Diceros bicornis minor: one gene and its partner. The protein of the gene in region 2 interacts with the protein of the main gene of each other region in a pairwise test. Links are inferred from orthologs where the notes say so. Each region holds a gene or a part of one and is shown on either strand. Other genes may lie near its edges.

Region 1 (12,686 bases), on a different chromosome or scaffold from region 2:
GTTTCTCTGAGGATAAACTGAGTGAATATGTAAATCATTTAGAACAGTACCTAGTATACAATAAGTGTACTAGCCGTTAATATTGTTTAACGAGTAGAATACAATTAGAAATGGATTTCAACTTCTATTAGCAACTCTGTATGATTTAAAACTCACTCTGGAGGTCTGAGGCAAGCAGCCTACTTGGATGAATATTACAGACATCCTCCAAGTAAGATACTTCTCAGTATACCAACACCGATGTTTGCTATACCTCCCACAATCCTACCAGCACTGGCATTCCTAAGTATGTCAAACTGCTAAGCATTACTCCTTTTCTCAGGTGCTGGCCGCAACCTCGCCATAAGAATAATTTTTGCACAGACCATCTCTAATCTAAAGTTCTGCTGCATATCTAGATTAGTGAGCAAGTAGGAATAAAAGTGAAATTTTAAGAAGTAGTATTTTTGGCAATAATAATTTTATATTTGAAATTGATAAATAAATCATTCCACATGAGCAAATGAAAATTACAACAAATCTTTCTGCTGACTAAAAGGCCTTAGATGAGACTCAGTACAGATACACCTTAATTACTATGAAATCAATTATACTTAAATATATAAAAGCAACACAGTTGGATTACAATTATTCATTATTCCATATGTGTAAATGTCATCCCCCTGTCCACAATGCCCCCTTAAATATTTAAGACCAAGGACTCAAGAGACTAGGGACTGAGGGCCTTTTCTTTTCTTCTGGATCAGCTGTCTCAATTAGATGTTCCCTCCTACCCCACATTATGAAATATACACATTTGGACAGACAATAAAAGATGGTATACTTTACTTGTTTCTTTTTTTCTAATTCTTTTTGTTTGTTTTAAATAAATATGAATTACCTATAAGGGAAAAAATTCAAAATGTATTCATTAAAAGGTAGTTTGGAAAACACACAAAAGCAAAGTACCCAAAATAGTGATTTCAGTGAAAACCATAATAACTGCTTACCTACAACCAGGCCACATTCAGGACAGATCATATCACCAGCTCTGTAGTCCTCCACTAAAATCGCATCTGGATGGTTTGGACATGTGACTCTTGGAAGAGCATCCAAACTAAATGAAAAAAAATATATATATATTTTATATCCTCCCAACCAACATGTAACAAAGTAGTCTTTGGGGGGGAAAAAGGAGTATTTTGAACATTTTACCAATACTATATGTTTATAACACACTTAAGCTAAATTTTCAAAGTAAACATCCCAGGTTACTTTAAATTCTAGCTAGTAATTAACAAGTATATTCCACTGGAATTATTTTTTTATTTTATTGAGGTCATAATAGTTTATAACATTATGAAATTTCAGTTGTACATTTGTTAGTCACCATATAAATGTGCCCCTTTACCCCTTATGCCCACCCCTCAACCCCCTTCCCCTCTGGTAACCACTAAACTTGTCTCTCTGTTCATGTGTTAGTATATCTTCCACATATGAGTGAAATCACACAGTGTTTGTCTTTCTCTGTCTGGCTTAGTTCGCTTAACATAATACCCTCAAGGTCCATCTATGTTATTGCAAATGGACCGACTTTGTCTTTTTTTATGGCCAAGTAGCTGGAATTATTTTTTATAATAGTAACTGGTGTGTCGACATGGAAGGCTTTAAAAACTTAAAAGGAGAACAACTGTTTTTTCTATTAACATGCAGGCTACTAAGATTTTTTAAAAGCTTGATTAGGATAGAAATGACTAGCCACCATAATAACGTGCAACATTATTATATATAACCATCAGGCTTGTGCCCCTTGCCACTTATTTCTCTGGCCAGAGAATAAATTTCAAGTCTGTGTTTTTCTACTTGCTAGTTACCTTAGCAATAGATTTAGAATAGTACACTGAAACTAACGGGCATGTAAATGAGGGTGGTAGATGTGGCTCTGCTGAACTTAAGATCTGACGATTTCATTTGGTCCAGAATTAAGTTTGTTAGCATTCTACAAATGGTTTCAAAAGCTACTTTTTAACCTATTTGTGATCAATTATTTTATTTTGAAAATAAAGCAGTTTGGGGAAGACATATCAGGCTAAAATGACCCCCAGAATCAGTTTAAAAAAGAAACAAAGATACTTAGCATAGATTTAGTAGTTATTTCTGGGCATATGACTTCAAAATCACAAATGTTTGGTATCATTGAAAATAAGTCCTCTCTAAAAGTTCACATGAGTAACACAGTAAAAGGTTATTTTATGGCCATCACAAATATACATCTAAAAGACAACATCAACCATTCTTATAGTATGTAAATAAGTATTCGTGGTTTTGGATAAAGTTTCTGGTGCTAGCAAATACAATTCAGAATGTTAACTCTCAACATAAAAGGTGATCCCATTGAAAAACTGATAAAATAATCCATATTCCCCAAATCTATATATTCGAGTTAACCAGAACACATCTTCGATCTTTTCATTGGAAAAATGGGGGCTAGGGGCTTGGTTTATACTCTCACTTATTCCATAAATTTCTATTAGGAAAATATTTTAATAAATTATGACAAATAATATATTAAGAAAGTATAAATTATGAAAAAGTATGTCAAAATACAGGAAAATGTTAGCAGAGTAACAGTAATTACAAATGTGTAGAATGGGCAGCCATGTGGCACACAATGTACGAAGAAAACGACTGATATATTTTGCACTCTTAAAAAGTAGATAAAATATCTTGTAGAGTGTGTGTGTGTGTATATATATAAATGAAATGGAAACATCTCAAAGATATGTTAGGTGAAAAGAGTACGGTAGGGATTTTATACAAAACTGGAAAAAGTATGAACTACGGTTATATGCAATAACATGGATGAATCTCAAACGCTGATCAAAAGAAAGTAGACACAGAGGAATACATATGCCATTTATATAAACTTTAAAGCGGGCAGACAAACCTATGGTATCAGAGTCAGGATGTGGTTATCTTTGAGAAAGGGTAATGACTGAGGACACAAAGGAGGCTTCAGGGTGCTAGCGGTATTTGATTTCTTGACGTGGGTGGGGGCTGTGTGTATGTGCTCACTTTGTAATTGACGCGTGCACTTAAAATGTGTGTGTTAACCTCATAAGAAAGGTAAAAAGCAAGATAGACAACAGTGTGTACACTAGACTATATTTTGGGGGCAAGAGAGGTTAGAAGGATATGCATATAATTGTTAAAGCATAGAATCACTAGGAAAACACCACGAAACTGGTTACAATGTCTGCTTTGGGGGAGAATCAGACAGTTGGGAGACAGGGAAGGACGGAGACTGCTTTTCACTTTCCTTGTTTTTTGTACTATTTGTATATGTTACCTATCCAAAATAAAATGAAATCACGCTAAAGTAGTCAACTTTTAATCAAATTACCCACAACAGTAATACAAAAGAGGAACCAGAGGAGTGGTGGTGGGGGAAGTAAAGGAGAGAAACAATCGGAAGGAACGGAATAAACAACCACCACTGATATTAAACAACTGAGACTACTTAAGGAGCCAGATATTCCCAAACCTCATTTTAAAGCTATCATGTATTGGGTGCCTATGTGTCTAGTGCCAGACATCTATTATTAACCTTCACAGCAACTCTGCAACAGAAGCATTATCTCTATTTTAAAGATTACGCTCAGAGAACGATTTGTCTGAAGTCGCAGAACTAGTAAGTGATGGAGCTTACACATGAACTCAGAACATTTGTGCTCTTCTCTGTGAAGACACCAGGCAGTTTCATAGCCTAGCAACTGTATATCTTCTTCAGGGAAAAAACTACTAAAGGTAGAAATGCTAGCGTTTACCTTTGTTCTCACTGGTAGAAAAACTCGAGATAGATAACTGCAATGATACGTATATTTAAGAGCCGGCCCCGTGGCTTAGGGGTTAAGTGCACGCGCTCCGCTACTGGCAGCCCAGGTTTGGATGGCGGGCGCGCACCGACACACCGCTTCTCTGGCCATGCTGAGGCTGTGCCCCACATACAGCAACTAGAAGGATGTGCAACTATCTACTGGGGCTTTGGGGGAAAAAAGGAGAAGGACTGGCAATAGATGGTAGCTCAGAGCCGGTCTTCCTCAGCAAAAAGAGGAGATTAGCATGGATGTTAGCTCAGGGCTGATCTTCCTCACAAAAAAAAAAAAAAAAGAGCTGAATATGTTTAGAAAAAATTTATTTCAAACATTTTTTTTTTAACAAGTGAAGAAAATAAAGGCACACAAAGTTAAGTGTGCTCTTTGGGTAAAGAATCTATAAAGTGAATCTACTGTGTTTAACTCCTGCAACATTTCCTAAAAATACAATTTCCTATTCTACTATATGCAAAAGCTGTGCCCAAATAGGACCACATTCACCTTTGAGACCTACTGCCATGAGAGAATATGTCGTATGTATGTGTCTTTGGGAAGCTTACATTTTCCATTTACCTACAAGGAAGCCTTACCTGACAGAGCCACACCCAGACAGAATGATTGAGCATTCAATCATAGAATTAGAATCAGTAAACAAGAGTGTCACTGGCTTTAAGAGTTATTTTCAAACAGGCCATTAGCTAAAGCTGCCTCTCCCCACTTCCCCACCTTTTAAAAAAAAAACAGTAACATAAAGTAGTAAGTCTTGGCAGTTAACAGAAAGGGCCTGGACTTCTCTAGCTATTTTGTGATGATGGCTTTCATTGGGAACTCAATTCCACAGAGGATAACCAGCTTAGAAAAATTATTCCAGAGTTGCCATCCAGAAGCTATAGCACTCGATACTTTTAATACATTATGAGTTAACTTAAGGCCATTTGTATGATAACAGGAAATAGATATTTGAGACTCTACACTCTGTTCTAACACCAATCTTGGAAAAGTCACCAGTGGCATGACTCAGTTTACACGTATGCAAAAATACCAATATCTACCTCATAATAGTAATGAGAGATATAATTAGGGTCTGCAAGCATTTTCCAGGTCACAGGATTACGGGCTGTCTCTAAGAGCACTGCACGCATTTCCTGTAGATATGTATGCACCACATTTTAAAAACATATTAAAGAGTGACTTCCCAGCACATGTAAGTAATTTTCTGCAGGCAAGATTTTCTTCAGGAGTATGCAGAAGACAACATTGGTAAAGAAATCTCTTATAAGGGAACTTATCAACTCTTTGGAAATGCCTCAGCTTTCACTTAAGAGGGCCTCTGGGATGGTAACCAGTTTCCATCAGGCTTAGCAATGCTGACGTCCCTAACGTTCTAGCTGTCAGACTGACAGGGGCCTAGAATCCTTTCCCGCTCTTTGGACTCACGGCCCCTTGGGCTGGTTAAGCCGTAGGTGGAAAAACAAGCGCAGAAAGAAATAACAACAAGATAAGACGGCTGAAACATCCGCAAAAGAGGCGAGGCCGGGCCTGGGGAGACAGGGACCCCCACAGGGTGGTGCCTGGGTAAGAAGACGACCTAGGACGCCGGGGCGGTAACGCCGACGCTCGGTACCCGCTGCGACACCCCTGACAGCCCTGCCGTCTGGAAGTGCCTTTGTCCGGGCCGGCCGGCCAGCCCCGCCGCCTCTCCCCGCACCTCCGGGGCGCTCCGCCCGACGCAGCCGCCCCGGCGGCCGCCTGGCAAGCCCTGGCACTCCCGCCCGCACCCCTGCGAGCCCGGCTCGGCCGGACGTACTAACCGGCTGGTAGACGCCATCTTCACGGCCACTGCGGTCCAGCAAGGAGCAGCAACAGACGCGCCGCAAACAGGAAGACGTTGTGGCGACAGGACGCGCCAAGACGGGCTTTTATAGGCGAACGGCACACGCCGTCGTAAGGGGGAGCGGCTACGGGTCGCGAGAAGGACCAAGAAAGATGAGATCCTGTAGGCCACGTGCTTTGCGTGTCCTTATTCTCCTATTCCGTTTCTGTAATTTGCCGTGCTGCTGGGCGAATCAACAAAACTACCCAAGAAAACTTTCCAGGGAACCCTGAAAAGGAGCTACAACGGAGATACCCAGAACTTGACTGAATTAAAACATAAAAACAACCCGGGCTTCGTGGTGGGGGCAAAGCTAACTAACCCCTCCACCCGGGAGTCAGTTACTCTCGTTTAAGCGCAATTCTTACTTGCCCAGAGGCGTGATTCCCCTAAGGACTTTGGAATAAAAAGAGAAATTCACTTAGGTCAGCTAGAACAGGTGTAGGTTCAGGCTCTGTCATCGGCAAGCCAGCTGTGTCTTCTTAAGCACGTCCCTTCGCCTTCGGTGCAAGGGGTAATATTATGTGCCTTGCATACCCTTTCAGAATTGGCAGGAGATGAAACAAAACCATGTGAGAGCACAGTGCACTAGTGAGGCAGGGAGATATGGGGCCCTATCCTGATTGGTTTTTTTCATGGGCTTTGCAAATTTGGCTGACAGTTGAAGCATAGAGAACTTAGCAGAACGTTTAGATACCGCAAAAGGTCCCTAGATTTATTAATTAGCCAAACTAACATCAGAATAGTAATAATAATAACAATAACACTACCACCACTTTGCTGAAAACAAACCACCTTGACCCTGTGGGGATCGGCGGAAAGAGGGTGATCCGGGTTCTGTGAGGATGAGGACTTATAATGGCTGCTTTGTTCTTTTGGGCATAGGACTTAAACGCTGCTGAGCACTCGTTGTGTTCTTGAAAAGTGGGGAGGACTCACTTACTTAGAAAGAATAAGGGGTGTAAGAGGCAGGAGTTTTGGAACTGAAATCTAGATGGGGATGGAAGAGAAATTTTTTTTTCTGACTTCCAGTCTGTAATTCTGCAGTTTAAAAACTTGACTGTACGTGTGTGTGTGTCAGGGGAGCCTCTTAAGATTTGGAAAAGTTTCAGAAAGGCCAATTCATTTCAGCTGTGCCAATGCAACCAGGAAAGGGCTTGGGGGTGCTCCACACCAAGCCAGTAGGAAGTTTTCCTAGTAGAGCATCTTGGCTTGGGAGAAGAGGGAGAGGAGGAGCAGGGCAACCGGGCACCTCTTGAGGATCAAGAGTTAGGACCTACTATGTAATGGATTCATGGTAGGCATTCGGTAATGTTTGTGGAAGGAAGAAACCATCGGAGAAATTGACACCCCAGAGGAAGGTAGCTGGGCAATTGGTTAAATTACTCTGCCCCGCCTGGAGAGTCTCTTATCTGTCATAACCTAGTTAGGATTTCTTTTATATTAAATTAGAAGAAGTTTAGGTAGGTCAATCCTTTCCTTTTGTTAATACAGCATTGGCAATTGATAAAGTATTTTTATCAACATTATCCCATTTAATCTTTATATTTGACTCTGAGATTAAAACACACACACACACACACACACACACACACACACAGGCACAACTGGGGTTCGACACACAACCTAGGAATCAATGACTCAGACAGCATTTACCAAAACTTCTGGTTTGTTATTATCATCATTTTTATTTACCTTAATTATGTGGATTAATCAATTAAAATAATTTAAGTTAATTATTTAAATTAAATCATCTTTTTTTATTTAAAAATTTATTTTAAAAGTTTATGTCACTACTGTGGAATCGCAACTTGATGTGCTAGTTATAGTTCTTCTAAAGTATAAAATGCTTTACATACGTAGTGGATGATTTTTTAAAAGTTGTGACCCACCTAGATATATCTCTTTAAAAAAAAATTTAGTGAGGTATAATTACATACCACAGAATTCACCTGTTTAGAAGTGAATGATTTTTAGTAATTTTACCAAGTTGTGCAATAATCCCCACAATCCAGTTTTAATACATTTCCATCATCCCAGTAAGATCACTCATGTGCATGTACAGTCAATGCCCATTCCACGTCCAGCCCAGGAATCACTAATCTACTTTCTTTCTCTGTAGATTTGCCTTTTCTTGTCTTTTCATATAAATGGAATCGTATGATATATTGTCTTTTGGTCTGGCTTCTTTCACTTGGCATAATGTTGTGGAGGTTCATTAGATCTATCTTGTGGCCTCACTTTTGGAAACGCTGGTATATAAGTGTCTGTTATAAAAGGATCTGTATGGTGATGTTGGAGAAGATGACAATTTCCTAACTTGAGCAAGGTTTGACAAATATTTATTTGGACATTACATGGCATGTTCTGCTGGACTAGGAAGAACAGAGGATTCAGTGAAATGTATAATCAGATCTGACTTGGACTCTTTGGAAATGGGATGAAATGTCTAGAATATTAGACAAGCCTCATGTGCCTGGTGGCTAAGGGGCCATATGTATTGCTTCTAGAAATGTGAGGTTTTTACTTAATTTTTCAGTTTTTTTATCATGTATGAAGATGTTCAAACACACTAAAAATTAGAGTAATATAATGAATCCTCATTAAACAATTATCCTGATTAAACAATTATCAAGATTTTGCCACATTTGTTTCATGTATCCTTTGCTTGCCTTTTTTTCTCCCTTTGCTAAAGTATTTTAGAAACAAGTCCCATATATCACCTTGACCCATACATACTTGAGTGTACATTTCTAAAAAATATGGACTTTCAAATCTTTTTTATATAGCATTATAATACTCACTAAAGTACCAATGATGTCTTTCCACACTAAGTTTTCAGTTGGTGCTTAATTCTCCAGGGCCTGCTTCTTGGTGGTTTGGTTTCACCAGGCAGCAGGGTAAGCCCCTGCTGAAGGTGGCAGGGAGCCAGAGAGGGAACAGGGATGGCCGCACATGGAGCTGCAAGCAGTAGGGGAGTTCTTGAAAGTAGGCCTGAGGTCCTTCTGCTTTGGGCCATCTGTCAGGCACCTCACATGCATCCTGTCTAATTCTTGGTTATCTGGTCAGGCGAGTATTATTGTTTTCCTTCTAAAGGCTTAGAGAGGTTGAGTAGGTAGATTGCCCAGAGTCACACAATAAGTTAGTGGTGGAGATAGAATTCAAAGCCAGGAATGACTGACTCTAAGATTTTCCCACTTTTCTGCATGCCTGCTATATAACTGTTGTTGCAAGACTATATTTTTAGGCCCAAATTACTGTGCCCTGGGAAATACAGATTGTATTTGTAGAAGCATTCACTATCCTTTTGATTCCTTAATAAAGGAATAAAGTTTTATTTAAATTCAGGTAGAAGTAGTAATAAAAATGAATAATCATGATATTAAGAACAGCAGCAAACACTCATATAGTGCTTATTATGTGCCAGGTACTATTTTAAGGCTTTTTATATATTAGCTTATTTAATCTTTCCAACAGCTCCATGAGTTGGATACTATTATTGTCCCTATTTTATGGATGGAGAAATTGAGGCACAGAATAGTTAAGTAACTAGCCTGAAGTCACACAGCTAGTAAATGGCAAAGCTGGGATTGAACCCTGGTAATTTGGCTCCAGAGTCTATGCAATATGCCTCTTAATAGAAACTCAATATACAGAAATTCAATTTATAGACTTTAAGATCATGGAATGGATTCAACAAGCAGTGTACCTGCAGCAATCATGTGGGCTTGATTTTATGGGGCAGCTGTGCTCTAAAATATTTTGGCCAGCTGTCCACGTAACGACACTTGTGTTTGTAAAATTGTGTGCTACCTAAACTGAAATGTGGCTGGCTCATATCCCACTGCTAAACGTACTTGCATACGTGAACCTGAATTTAACTTTTCCATTTGTTTGTTTGTTGATTTATTTGAAATCTTTGATTCCTCAGTGTTGGTGGCTTGTCCTCCATTGGAGACTAAATCCAGCTTTTCACTGAGAAAAGCCAGCAGCTTCTCCAAGTGCTAGGAAGTAGAATACAGGCTTACAACTTTAATAAGCTACAAACAGAAAATATTAACCATCAGTTATTTCCTTACAGAATCAGGGAGGAAGATTGCTAGAAATTAATTCACTTTTTAATTCAATGTTCAGTGAGCAGTAGCTTTCTCTTACATTTCTAAATTACTCTGATAATAAAACAAAATAACTCAAAAGGGCTCACGTTAATAGCTTGTGACCTTTAAAATTAATATTTTTTCCAAAGAGATATCATTTGGCATTAAGAATGTGACTTCAAAAGTTATGCTGCACTATTTAGTGTTGTTTTATCATATGTCTTGAAGATAATATTTTTTCCCAAAATAACCACTTTCTCATTTTATAATAAAAAATATGGAGAAATTGAATGTTATATGAGACTATAATTTCCTTAAAATGTTTTTAAGTACATTTTAAGTACATTAATGTAGATAAGATTTGCCTTTAAAGTCTTATTAATGATTTTCAAGTGCTCTCAAAAACTACTGGGGAAAAATGAGAACATGAAACATGTCCATATTCATGTGACCTGTTACTTGACACTTTCTTCAAGACTGAATTTTAACATTAGATGTTTACTCTTTCCATGAAAATCACATGCTAAATACCTGCTTGTATAACCTAAGTACCTATTTTCAAATAATCTCATATTATTTAAATATTAAATTAAAACTCTGAAAGTATTACTTATAAAGTATAACCATGTGATGAGAATATAAAATTGCTTCTCTCATTACTGTCATGCATTGCTCACTGTATTATAAATTGATACAACCCTTTTAGAAAGCAATTTGACAATACTCCAAGAATGATTTAGATGTTAAAGCCTCTTGAGCAGTAATCCCACCTCTGAGAACTGGAGTAAGGAAATAATTTAAAATATGGGATGCTGTGTTCATGAAGATGTCCATTGGAGTGTTATTTATAATAATATAACATAGGAAGCAAGATAAATGCTAAAAATAGGAAAATTGTAATTTTGGTTGTAATGTTATAAAACAGGAAACAACTTATACCTTTGTAATAGGACAGTGATATACAGAAGGTCCCTAAAGTCTTAGTGCAATTTAGATGGTAAAACCAATGCATGTACCAAGGACCTTTTCTAAGCAACACTTTACCAGGGCCAATTCTGTTAGTTCAGGGGCTTAAAGGGAGCTGCAGTGAGCTCCCCGAGGGCTGAAGCACCCTCATTTTTCCTTTGGACCTTTGTGACTAACCTTTTGCACACAGAAGACATCCAATAAATATTGGTTTGTGAGAGTCATTGGTTGAGTGAATGAAAGAATATATTTTAAAATATCATTATTCTGACTGTTCTTCACAATAAAACCAAATTAGCGAGGCTTGCCAAGAGGATTTTCCCGTTATAGCTAGCTTTCCTTTTTTTCCTTTTTTTTTTCTCTTTGTGCTTTCTGTCTTCTACAAAATCGTCCATTATACCTGCTCATTCTCACTATTTTCTGACCTTTCTTACCTAGGATTTTGCTCTTTCACAGTAACGAGATGAAAGGACTCTGCCCCCAAACTTTTGTGAAGGAAAGCATTTGCCATCCACTATCCTACCACTGATCTTTGCCAAAAGGGGCAGTTTCTGCTCAGTGTCTCATGTTCAGACATCACAGGCGTCCACGTGACCATTACTAGTATTATTATTATCTGAGTGTTAACAATATACCCACTGCTAAACCAAGTCTCTTAGTGAGTGTTTTGAATGACAGTAAGATGAGCAGTTCCCAAATATAGCTTAATAAAGGTGGTATTTGGTACACCATCAGTTACATAGAATACTTTTATTGGGGTGGGTTTTTTCAGGTTAAAAAAAATCAAAGTTAACTTGAGTGTAGCTTTTCTATTAAAACCACAAAACCCACAATGGTTTAGCCATCTTCCACTATTTTAATGACTTGATTCTATGGCATTTACATCAAGATGCAGTATAAAAGCTGCATAAAAGCCCGTGCCACTATTTGTATTCATCTGTTCTATCCCGGTGTCTGGACCTCTCAAGCTAATTTTGTGGCACGCTCATCAAATGCTCACTCCTGACTTGTCTATAGATTATCATCTTTCTCTCTCAGTTATGTTCAACTCCGGCTGTAGTCTTACATCGTTGTCTATTTTGTGAATGAGGGCTTGGTTATATCTTTCTGCTTTCTTTTCTGTTACGTGGAAGCTAATGTTAAAGAAAACAATTCCCAGAGCCAGCCTGGTGGCGTAGCGGTTGAGTTCGCGCCCTCTGCTTTTGAAGCCCAGGGTTCGCAGGTTCGGATCCCGGGTGAGGACAGATGCAATGCTTATCAAGCCATGCTGTGGCAGGCTTCCCACATATACAGTGGAGGAAGATGGGCACGGATGTTAGCCTAGGGCCAATCTTCCTCAGAAAAAAGAGGAGGCTTGGCGTCGGATGTTAGCTCAGGGCTAATCTTCCTCACACACACACACAAAAAAACGAAAGATTCCCCACAAACCCAAGGTCAATAGTTTGCTTTTACAATAGAGATCCTGAGACTTTCCCACTAAACTAAATGGTCCCAAATCTCTACATCTACAATAACTAGACTTGTTTGATGTTTTCAAATTTTCAGAAAATTGTTCCAAAGCCATATACACTTTAAGTTAATGAGAATTTAGTTATGGCTTGCTTTCAAACAACTAAACTACACGGTGATAGATCATACCTTTGAGTACTTTTTTTTGGAACTTAAAAGTATTTGAATCTATTAATATTCCATTTAATTGATTATGAAATGAGGAAGGAGAAAGATTACGGGACTTAAGATCCTTCGTAGAGCGCTGTAGACAGCTACTCCCGCTTACTGCACAAAAGGCTGTTCGGGGAAAATGGTGCTGGGGCATCACACCCCAGCGGCAGCCATGCAACTCCTCCAACTTCCCCAGCTCCCTCCCACCTCAGCACCTTGGCCAAAAGATGGCGC
Region 2 (11,492 bases):
TTGACATACCATTTATCTTCTTCTTTTTTCTTTTTGATGAGGCACATTGGCCCTGAGCTAACATCCTTTGCCAATCCTCCTCTTTTTGCTTGAGAAAGATGGTCCCTGAGCTAATATCTGTGCCCATCTTCCTCTATTTTGTCTATGGGACGCCACCACAGCATGGCTTGATGAACAGCGTGTGAGTCCATGCAAACCCCAGGCCGACGAAGCAGAGGGCACGAACTTAACACTATGCCACCGGGCTGGCCCTGCATTTATCTCTTTTATTGTCTGTCTCTCCACTTTAGAAATAAACTCCAGGAACATTTTGTTCACATAATCGCCACTACCTGGAATAGTGTCTAGTGTGCAATAGCTTCTCAATAGATGGATAAAATAAATACAATTTTTATGAGGCTATCATAAAAGTGCATGCATCTTAAGTGTGCAGCTTAATACATTTTTATATACAACCACCACCCAGTTCAAGCTGTGGAACACTTCCAGAAGGCTGCTTCCCAGTCAACTCCCACCCCGAGGTAACCATTATACTGAATTCCATCACCATCGATTAATTTCACCTGTCCCTGAACTTGATTTAAATGAATTACGTCACGGTGTGTGCTCTTTGTGTTTGGCTTCGTTTGCTCAACATAAGGTCTCCAAGATTCACCCACGATGTTGCGTGTAACAGTGGTTCGCCCTTTTTCATTGTTCTGTTGTACAATACCCTACCATTTATTCGTGCTCTTGTTGACAGGCATTTGGGTTGTTTCCAGTGGGAGGCTGTGGCCATTCTTGTACGTGTCTTTTGGTGGACGTATGCCTAGGAGCAGCACTGCTGTGTCACAGGGAAGTACGTGTTAATAGACTCAAGGAGAAACCGCCCCACTGTTTTCTAACACGGTTGCACCTCGTGACGTTCCCACCAGCACTGAGGTCTGGCCTTGCCACCTCCTCTCCGCACTTGGCGATCTCAGACTTTTTCATTTCAGGCTTCTGGTGGGTGATTGTGGCAACTCATTTCCCTGCTGAGGGACGATGTTGGGTGCCCAATAAGCATTTGCTGAATGAATCCTTAGGGGGACTATGGAGGGAGACTCTCCTCTTGGCAGGGATGGGTGGGCCCATACCCTTCACCTGAAGGTCTCAGTCTCTGGATGCTACACTGGCCTCAGAAGCTGCTTCCCATTCTACCCACTGGTCACACTTACACCCCAGGGTACAGCCAAGGCCAGGCTGAGGCATTCAGACAGGACCTGGCCCGAGGCTCAAGGCTCCTCAGTGGATAGAGAATAAACAAAGAAAACCTTCTGGTTCCCAGGTAGAGCTCTGCAGATGGGGTACTGACAGGCTTCCCTCCCGGTGCCCAGTGGTGCCCACGGGCAGGGCAGAACCATCTTTCCCGACTCCCAGGAAGCACCCAGGGGCCTGGCCCAGCCAGAAGCACCGTCTCCCTGGGGCCCCTAACCTCTGACTCAGGAGGCTGCACTCCTAACACTTGGTGAAAGCTGGGTCAGGTCCTCCCTAACGGCCTATGAGGTCCTATGGCCGAAACTGGCTGGTCGGTCACTCAGGTTGGCTAGAGGACCTTCCCCAGCCTCCCTCAGGTGGGTCCTGTGGCAGTTCCAGTGGGAGGTGAACAAAGGTGATGGGGCCACTTCTAGTCCTGGCCCAGAAAAACCTCCATAGGCTCTGAGCTTTCCCCTTCCTCAGTGATCCTGAAAGTCATAGGTTGAGGATGGTGGAGCCACAAGATGGAAGGAGCCTGGGCCCTGGCGTCCCTCTTGCAGAAGCACCACCCACTAATCAGATAAATCCCAATATAAACCTTATATGAGCAAGAAAATTCCTCTGCACTTGAGCCTAAACAGTTTGAGTTTTACATCAGGCCCTTGCCTTAACTAATAGGTATAACTAGTATATACAGCATAGCATGTATAACTATAGGTAATAACTAGTCCCATTTACAGATGGAAAAACTGAGACATCGAGAAGCTACAGAACTTGTTTGAGGCCAGTAAGTGCAGAAGCTAGGATTTAAACCCGGGGCCTGGCTCCAGAAGTTCCACTCGTAAGCACCCTGCCAAGGGTGAGCCAACAGGCTGAGAATGCAGAGGCAGAGGCCAGGGGCTCCTGGGCATCTCCCACCCCCACCCACACCTCCTCGAGCCTCTGCCTAGATGAAAGGGGCTACTCCCTGCACCGTGGCCTCCTGGCCTTCCCCAATCGTCCTCCTCACTCTCACCCAGCCTCCTCACTCTGAACCTTCTCAGTTCAGGATCTCACCCTTTGGACAGAGCCCAGCAACAGGCTCCCAGGCTCTCTTCCTCTCTTACCCCAGCTCCTCACCCCCACTAGCATGCCCTCAGCTCTGTGGACCCCAGGAGTCTGCCTCCCCTGGGACTGCACACGACTTGCTGCTAGAGAAAACTACCTCCCGCTTCCGGGCCGATGGGAACCCCTCCCATTCACGGTCCCTGTCAGCCGCAGCTTCTTCAGTTACCAGTGACAGAAACCCAACTGGCTTCCGGCAGGGAAAAATGTTTATTGGCTCACAGGACTAAGAAGTCTGAGGTATACAGGCTTCCGGCAAGACCGGGTCCAGGTGTTCAGATGTCACCAGAAATCTGGGCCTCTGAGCCTCCTGGCTCCGCTGTGCTGGTTTTGTTCGCAGTCAGGATCACCACTTGTGGCTTCCAGTTGCGTCTGGCCTACATTCCACCAGCTTCGCTACCCAGTGTGGCAGCCATCATCCTTGCTTGGACTCCTAGAGGGTCCCTGCTGCCACCCGAGCCATGGGAAAGCCAGCAACCTTGTCAAAACCGGTCCCCAAAGGTCCCACCTTAAGTCCCAGGGCTTGAGCGTCCTGGCTGATTAGCCGGCTGGAATCACAACCCACCTGCACCACTCACAGTGGCCACAGCCGGTGTGGTGCTGTGTCACTGCTCTCTCGTGAGCCAGCCTTCAAGGCCCTCCACAATCTCGCCCACCTCTGCTCCCAGTGCCCCTTCTCACACCCTTCGTGGCACCTGGCCCAAGTTCTAGTTTTCAAGACCTGTTCTGTTACCTGTCGCATCTATCCCTCTGCAGCAGCCTAGCAGGGACAGAATGGTCTCCATCAGAGAGATGCGAGGAGGCTGCTCAGAGAAGGGTAGGAACCTGCCCAGGGTCACACAGCACGATGAAACAGGTTGTCTCCCGGCATAATGGGTACCTGCTGGCTCAGGCCCTACACCACCCTGCCCGCCTTCCTTCCCTCAGCACCACTGGGCCTGCCCTGGCATAACTGTGACGTAAAGCCCCTCCCTTCACTCTGCTGCTGCCTGGCCCACCACCACTCCTGGCCCCAGCTCAGTGTGGAGAAGGCAGGTGAAAAGATGGCAAGGTGGCCACAAAGCCCTAGACAGAGGCTGGGACAAACACTGGCATTCCCTTTTATTTCTTTTTTTTAATAAATTTAAGAACAGTTCTACCTTCTCTCTTCCCCCCAGAACAACCAAAACCAACTAAAAAGGGGTGTGGCCTGGGGGGCAGAGGGCGCTAGGAGTCATAATCCTCTTCATCCTCTGCATCAGGTGCTGAGGGGCCTGGGGGCACTGGGGGCAGAGGCAGAGTTGAGGCAAAGGGCATGAAGGGTGTCGGGGGGCTGCTAGGCAGAAAACAGGAGAGGAAGGTCAGGCCACTGCTCATTCCTGACCCCTAAGCCACCCCCTGCCCTCCACACGGGCAGCATGGAGCCCACCGCCCTCGGTACCAATAGGGAGCCAAGCCCAGAGAAGGGAAGGGCCCAAAGCAGGTCACACAGTCCCTGCCCAGGCCCCATCCACTGCCCCGCCCAAGAGTGGAAGGGACCTTCGGAGAGCACAGTCTCCTACCTTTAAGCCCTCCTCAGTTTCTCCCTTCCCATGCCCCAAATCTGCCACAACCAATAGATCCAAGTGGTCATGGAGGCCAGGAGGGACAAGTCAGCCTTGGGGAGTCTGCTGGCCCTTTCCTGGCGCCCACTGAGCTGCTTACCTCTGTAAGTGGGCGGGGGGGTGGCTGGCCTGGGGTGGGGCCTGCGGTGTGTCCTCTTCCCCATCGGTGTCTGTGTCCTCAGACTCATCCTGGTAGCAAGGTAGGGATGAGAAGTGACATGAAAGGCATGGACTCATCACTGGAAAGCACAAACCCCTGAGAGTAGCAGGGACAGGAGGGTGACCTCCATAGTCCCAATTTATAAACAACAAAACCAAGGTACAAAGAGATAAGAGGTGAGGATGGAACCAGGCTCCAGCCAGCCCGGCCTGAGACAAGCCTGCCCTCTGCACACTACGAGACAGAGGGCTGGGGGCCTCACTCACCTCCTGCTCCGAGTCTGTCCCCGACAGCTTCTTATCCTTGCCTTTGCTTCCCATCCCACCGTTCTTCCGGCCACTGCTGCCTGGCTTCCGGCCCCTTCGAGAAGGTACAGTCCATCTGCCCAGAGGTCACCCCCCCATTCATCACCCCCCAGCCACCCCCAACCCTGGTGGCCTTGGCCTTCTCCACCTGCACACTGGCCCTCGGTCCCCACCTGCGGGCACTCTTGTCCCCATCCATGTGGTTGTCTTCCCCGTCCCCCTGCATGTCAGGCACAGATGCCACCAGGTCCTTTAAGAAGTCAAACTGCTGCTCCAGCTCAATGCACTGTTTCCTGGAAGAGATGGGGAGGGGATGACACTCAGGTGGGGCCCAGATGTCTGGGTCCTCAGCAAGGGACAGTAAGAGGCTCTGGATGTCAGGAGAACAGAGCCTGGAAAGCCTCCACCCCATCTCCACCACCCGACCTCCCCCGCTTTGCTGGAACACCCAACTCCTCCTCCCCCAGTTCAAACCCACCAGTCTTGGAGGCCTGGCTGGTTTCCCAGCAGCCTCCCACCTCCCTCACTATAAGAACGCAGCCGCCCCTAACTGTGTGAACTCCTGGGGCACGGCCCCACTCAGCCCTCTCAGCTCCGCAGCCACTCACAGGTGGGATGTGGTCATGGTCTTGGCATTTCGGGACTGGGTCACCTGGCAGGCCTTCTTCAATAGCGACTCCAGGAAGAGCTCGAGTGCCCGGGCTGAGGGGTGTCAAGGAGAACGCAGCTAGGGGGGTCCCCAGCCCACACAGGCGACCCCGGGCTGCCTCCCTCTCCCACGTCCCTCAACCCAACCAGCCCCCAACAGGATACAGATGATGACAGGCACAGCCGCCGCCACCTTCCCAATCTCTTCGTCTGTCTGCATGATCTTCTTGATCCGCGCCTGGGGAAGGGAGAGAGCTCGGACCCCGTGGCCTCCGACCCAGAAAGGGGTGCTGGGGGCGAGCGAGGGGGGTATCCCAGGAGAAGGGGGGAGGGGGGCACGGACGCGGGGAGGGCACGGAAGGGGGCGGGGCGTCCGGGCCCCCGAACAGCGCGAAGCGCCCGCCCCCCCAGCGGGGCCTGGGCACAAGCCTCACGAGAGCCCGGCCGCTCCTCCCGGGCCCGGCCACGTGCTCACCGGCGGGAACCGGGCGTTGTACTTCTTCTTCTTGCTCGGCATCTCGGGGACTCTCTCGCCGCGCCGGGCCCAGCGCCGCCGCCCGCAGCCTCCCGGCCCCGGGGCCTGCTCGCCGCCCGCCCGCCGCGGTTCCCCCGGGTCCTGGCGCCGCCTGCTCCGCCCCTGCCGCTCCCCACGGGGTCCTAGCGCCGCCAGTCAAGACGCCGCTCCCAGGGCTCGAGTGCCCTCCCCTTATAGCCTCCCGGGCGGTGCACGTCGGTCCGGGACAGGGCCGCCACTCCCACCCGCGCCCAAGGCCAGGAGAGCGAACGTTAGCCCCGCCCACGCAGGCCCGCCCCTCCCCGGGCTCCCTGACGGCCCCGCCCCCGGGGTCAGCCCCGCCCCCACCTGCCCCGCCCCTTCCCTCGTCGGCCCCGCCCCGCGGCGCGGCCGATCCGGCCCGGGGGCCCCGCCCCGCGCTGCGCTTGTCTATAAAGTTGTTGTTGAGGCGGCGAGGCGCTAAGATGGCGGCGGCGGCGGCAGCCGTGGCGGGGGCGGGGCGCGGCGGCGGCGGCGGCGCGGAGCCCCGGCAGGAGCGGAGCCGGGCCCGGGGCTGGGCCGGCGCCGAGCGCAGCGAAGGCCGGAGGTGACGGCTGGGCGGCGGGAGGGGGCAGGGCCGGGCGGGAGCGTAGCTCGGGCCGTGGGCGCTAATGGCGGCGGGCGCGGCTGGCCGGCGGCTGGCCCTCCCGCAGGTTCCCACCAGCCTGGGTTCGAGTCCGGGCACCGCCCCACTGGCCTCGGACCCGTCACAGCCCTTTCTGGGCTTCAATGTCCTGGTTTTTAAATAGGCCCGATGACACCCCCCCGGGAGGCCTGGCCCTGCAGGGCCTGCCCCAGTGCTGCGCGATTGCGCGCCTGTCTTCCTCCCTCCATTAAATCCCGGCGCTCGGGGACCTGCCAGTGACTGGCAGGGCCAGGAGGTGTGGCTGGGCCGGCTGCTTCCACACCTGAATGCACATTATGGCCCTGTCACTCTCTACAGGTGTGACCTTGGGTAAGTCCCTTCTCTCTGAGCTTCAGTTTCCTATCTGTAAGTCAGGGACAGTAGTGATAACATTAGCAACAACACTTACGTAGCTCGTGTTCCGCGTCAGGCATTTAATTCTCAACAGCTCTACAAGGCAGGAACAGTTGTTACTTATTTTAAAGATGAAGCAACAGAGGAACGGTGACATTAAGTCTTGCCCAAAGCCACACAGCTTAGTTTAGTGCCTAGCACCCTTCTAGGGCCCAGTAAGCTGTAGATCTGTCTTGGACCTGCCCTAACTCGGTTCCCTCGCTTCAGGATGGAGCCAGGTGAGGAGCTGGAGGAGGAGGACTCTCCAGGCGGCCGGGAGGATGGCTTCACTGCTGAGCATCTGGCCGCGGAGGCCATGGCAGCTGACATGGACCCCTGGTTGGTGTTTGATGCCCGCACCACACCTGCCTCAGAGCTGGATGCCTGGTTGGCCAAGTACCCGCCATCCCAAGTTACCCGCTATGGCGACCCTGGCTCGCCCAACTCGGAGCCCGTGGGCTGGATTGCAGCATATGGGCAGGGCTACGTCCCCAATTCAGGCGACGTGCAGGGCCTGCAGGCAGCCTGGGAAGCTCTGCAGACCAGCGGGCGGCCCATCACGCCAGGTACCCTGCGCCAGCTGGCCATCACCCACCACGTGCTCTCGGGCAAGTGGCTGATGCACCTGGCACCTGGCTTCAAGCTGGACCACGCCTGGGCCGGCATTGCCCGGGCCGTGGTCGAGGGCCGGCTTCAGGTGGCCAAGGTGAGCCCACGGGCCAGGGAGGGTGGGCGCCAGGTCATCTGTGTTTACACGGACGACTTCACGGACCGCTTGGGTGTGCTGGAGGCCGATGCAGCCATCCGTGCAGCAGGCATTAAGTGCCTGCTCACCTACAAGCCTGACGTCTACACCTACCTGGGCATCTACCGGGCCAACCGCTGGCACCTCTGCCCCACGCTCTATGAGAGCCGTTTCCAGCTGGGGGGCAGTGCCCGCGGCTCCCGTGTGCTGGACCGCGCCAACAACGTGGAACTGACCTAGTAGGGCCAAGTAGGGGAGACCACTCTCTGCCCTCCCTGCCAGGGATGGATCCTCCCGTCTTCCTTGTCCCAAGGAGGCCAAGTCCCCCAGCTCTGAGGACTAGGTCACTCGGGAACTGTCTGCATCTTCAATCCCCTTGAACTTCTGCCCTCTGTTCAGGGCTGACTCAAGTCCCCACCGGCTGGAGGCTCTGGCTCCCTGGAGGCTCTGGCTCCCTGAGGGCCGGACCCTCAGCCTCTCTTTTCGCTGCTGCTCCCCTCTGCCATCGAGGACCGCAGGCTGGGTGCAGACCCCCAGGAGGAGAGCCTTCCTTGGCTGCCCTCATCCCTGGCTGTACCTCCCCCCTCTCCTGCATCTTCCCCTTTTTCTCTTCCTCCCTCACAAGAGAAAAGACTTAGGGCTTCCAGTCTCTCTCCTTGGAGCCTTCACAGACCAGCAGGCAGAGGCCCTGCAGGCCTGAGCATGCCATTTTGTTGGGGGGATGAGTGTGCCCACTCAGCCCTGGGCAGAGAGAGAAGATGCCCGGGCCATGGACATGGGGCCTGTCCCTCCCTGCCCCCTCACAGCCTGCACCACCTTTCTCCCTTCCTTCACTACCTTGTCATGTGCCTGCTCCTGGCATTTCAATAAAACCCAGATTGGGTCTGTGTCTTGAGTGTTTTTTAAAATACTGTGTTGGTGGTTACTTGCTTTGGTTGCTGGAGAGACGCAGGGCCAGGAGAGACTGCCCCTTTGCTCTGATGGGGCCCCCCTAACATCCCCCAATAATAAGATACTCCTCACTGCCAAGCTTGAGAGGGGCTGGCCCCGTGGCTTAGCGGTTGAGTGCGCGTGCTCCGCTACTGGCAGCCCAGGTTCGGATCCCGGGCGCACACCGACCCACTGCTTGTTGGGCCATGCTGTGGCCGCGTTCCACATACGGCAACTAGCAGGATGTGCAACTATAAAATACAACTATCTCCTGGGGCTTTGGGGAGAAAAAGGGAAAAAAAAGGAGGAGGATCGGCAATAGATGTTAGCTGAGGGCTGGTCTTTCTCAGCAAAAAGAGGAGGACTGGCATGGATGTTAGCTCAGGGCTGATCTTCCTCACCAAAAAAAAAAAAAAAAAAGCCTGAGAACTTCTCTGAGAGCCTCTGCAAAGCCAGCCCTGCTTCCCCTCCATCCTAAGAATCAGAATCAGTTTCTCAGTGATTTCCCATAAATCCAGGGGCTCAACCCAGCAAAGTCCGAGGGGCCACTACTAACCTACAGGGTGTATTGGCGCCTGTTAGAGAAAGGTATCCTCTTGGTCTAGAAGTTCTGGGCCAGGGCACACGGTCTGGTGAGCAGCAGATAGGCTGGATTTCCGAAATCTAGGCTGGACATCCTTGTGCAGTGAACAACCTGCACAACCATAAGTGACCCTGGAAGCTTTCCTGTTTATACTCACCTCTCCCACCACCCTAATCATCACGGGCCACAGAACGTTTGCAAAGCACTTCCTTATGCATTATTTAATCACAACCTCTTTAAAAGGAGATGTTGGTCCCATTCTGTGGTCAAGGAAATTGAGGCCAAGAGGGGAAGGGAATTCCCTCAGAGTCGTGGTGAGTCGGGCAGAGCTAGGCCTTGCACCCCGGTCCCTGCCTCCTCCTCAGGCAGAGTGTGGTCCCTGGCTTCACCCACAGGGAGCTCCAGGCACATTCCCTCACGTGATCTCACTGGGCCACCCCGATCAGCTGAGGCTGCTGCAGCCTCGGAGCCTGGCTCTGCACCCCCCAACCCCGTGCCTGGCCCTGGCCTTGGTTGGAGGCCAGGGTGTCTGGCAGGGAGCCCCTTAGGACACTGCTCTCGTGCCGTGCCGGAGCTGACTCATCCTCCAGCAGCCTCACCAAATTGGAATTTGGAGCAGGGGAGCGGAGATGCCACTGGGCTGACTGGGTGGAAGTGGGTGAGTCATGAGATGCTGGCTCAGCCCCCTCCCCAGCTTCCTCCCCACCCTGAGCTTCCCCAGGGCTGAGTCCCCCCTAAACCCAGCCCTGGGAAGTCCCCAGAGCTGAGTGGTCTCCCCTTGGAGCCTGGTGCCCTGCCTCCCCCAGCCTGTCAGTGCTCTACACTTGACCAAAGTGCGCCAAGGCTTGTGGGGGATCCTGGGAAGGCCCTCATGGGTCCCCCAAAGATGCCCAAGGGGTGTCAACACCGCCTGGTTCTCCTTCCATAACTAAGCGTTTGACACGCTCATCCCTTCTCCAGCCTCATGGCCCTGCTTTAGCCCATTCCTCACTCTCTCTTCACCAAACCATTGCACTTGCCTGCTCTGCCCGCTTCCCCTCCCACTTCCCCCCTGTGCCCCCACAGCCAGCTCTCCCGCAGAGCTGCCTCTGTCCCTCTCCTACTCAAAGCCCTCCTGTGGCTCCCCACAGTCTGCAATAGAGTCTGCTTTCCTGAGCCAGCCATGACCTAGCCCCCTGCCGCTGCCCCGGCTTCCCGCAGGCGCCCCTTTCCACCCCTGCTCACCCTACGGGAGCCAACTGGTACTTCCTTCACCCTGGCACGCAGCCCCGGGCCTCAGGCCATTCCTTCTGCTTGAACACCTGCTGTGCAGCAAGGATGGGGAGGTTCCTTATGCAACCACTTGATTGATATCTGTCTCCCGCTGGCCCCTGAGCCGCATGCCCATGTGGCCTCAGTGAAGACAGGGACAATGTCTGGATCTCAGCCCTGTCCCCAGAGCCTAGCACAGTGCTTGGCTAGAGCCATCTCTCCATAAATTATTGAATGAATGAATGAATGAATGACTCAAATTCAGCCCCTGCCAGTCCTTCCGGCCCCATCTCCTCCATTTCCTGCTTTACCCTTCTTATTCCAGAATCAGGAGCTGCCTGAGGTTTTCTCGCACACGTGCTGGGCTTTGTCACTTTTGCGCCTTTGCTCATGCTGTCACCTCTGCTTGGTGTGCCTGACCCTCACCTGCTTTCCTGGCTGGCTCCACGTCTCAGACCCACTGGCTTGGGTGTCATCCTCTCAGAGGTTCTTCCTCCCCTATCCATCCTCAGCCCAGGCTCCATAACACCCACTAGTCCACCTGTGGCTCTCATCTGTGCGCCTGGGGCCCCTCGAGGACAGGGCTGCGCTTTATCCCGCAGGTGTCCTCAGCGTCCTGCATAGGGACCTGGCCTAGCACGAGTGCCAAATCAATGTTACTGAAGAAATGAGTGACTAAGTGAAAGTCACTCTCTGTCTCTGGGCCTCAGTTTCCTCCTTCTATTCACGACAAGTGCCAGGCGCCATGCTAAGTGTTTACTCACATTAGCTCATCTAAGCCCCACCCGACTTTATTATTATTGCCATTTACAGAAGAGCAAACTGAGGCCCAGAAAGGTTCAGTAATTGGCTTGAGGTTACAAAGCTATAAGTGGCAGAGCCAAGATTTAAATCCAGGTCATCTGACTCCAGAGCACCTGATGCCTTGTGGATCCTGCACTGTATGAAGGTGCTGTTGGGGTGGGGGGCTGCAAAGATAGATAAGAGCCAGCAAGGACTGAGGATCTGAGTTGTAAAGCGCACAGCGTGGGTCCTCAGAACTGCCTGGGAGAGAGGCTGGGCCAAGACTAAGATTCCCATTTTACTGATGGAGAAACCGAGGCTCACAGAATACAGTCACTAAGCCTACCTGGACAGGAAGGATCTCCCAGGCCTACGGGGTTGGGGGGGACTGCTTCCCTGTCAGGCCAAGGGCTTCCCAAGACCTACCCCCTCAGGCTGGCAGGGGCTTCTGTCCTGTCCAGCTGGTCTCTTCCCACACAGGAGTAAGAATGCAGCCCTGGCCCAGGGTGGGTGAGGCTGGGTAAAGGTGGACAAGCCCCTGTGCTCTGCTTCCTTTTATAAAACCACAGGAAGGGGGACTGAGGCTGGGGAAAGCAGACACCCCCCTACTCCAC

The links.
Region 1: the proteins of DRAP1 (region 2) and GTF2B interact in binary tests that used the Homo sapiens proteins (3 or more experiments, as listed by UniProt). The two-hybrid records come from large-scale screens. The link is inferred for Diceros bicornis minor from reciprocal best matches to the Homo sapiens genes DRAP1 and GTF2B.

Annotation. Positions count from the first base shown.
Region 1 is NC_080743.1:24,859,951-24,872,636, forward strand, and holds the start of GTF2B (transcription initiation factor IIB), read right to left. Parts: upstream 5,765-12,686; 5' UTR 5,683-5,764; coding exon 5,666-5,682; intron 1,097-5,665; coding exon 990-1,096; intron 1-989. UniProt on the Homo sapiens protein: General transcription factor that plays a role in transcription initiation by RNA polymerase II (Pol II). Involved in the pre-initiation complex (PIC) formation and Pol II recruitment at promoter DNA.
Region 2 is NC_080770.1:7,365,021-7,376,512, forward strand, and holds DRAP1 (dr1-associated corepressor), read right to left. Parts: upstream 5,704-11,492; 5' UTR 5,533-5,703; coding exon 5,491-5,532; intron 5,254-5,490; coding exon 5,181-5,253; intron 5,070-5,180; coding exon 4,976-5,069; intron 4,661-4,975; coding exon 4,541-4,660; intron 4,444-4,540; coding exon 4,329-4,443; intron 4,092-4,328; coding exon 4,003-4,091; intron 3,632-4,002; coding exon 3,526-3,631; 3' UTR 3,397-3,525; downstream 1-3,396. Other genes in the region: C31H11orf68 (UPF0696 protein C11orf68 homolog), read left to right, coding at 5,994-6,115, 6,815-7,571. UniProt on the Homo sapiens protein: The association of the DR1/DRAP1 heterodimer with TBP results in a functional repression of both activated and basal transcription of class II genes.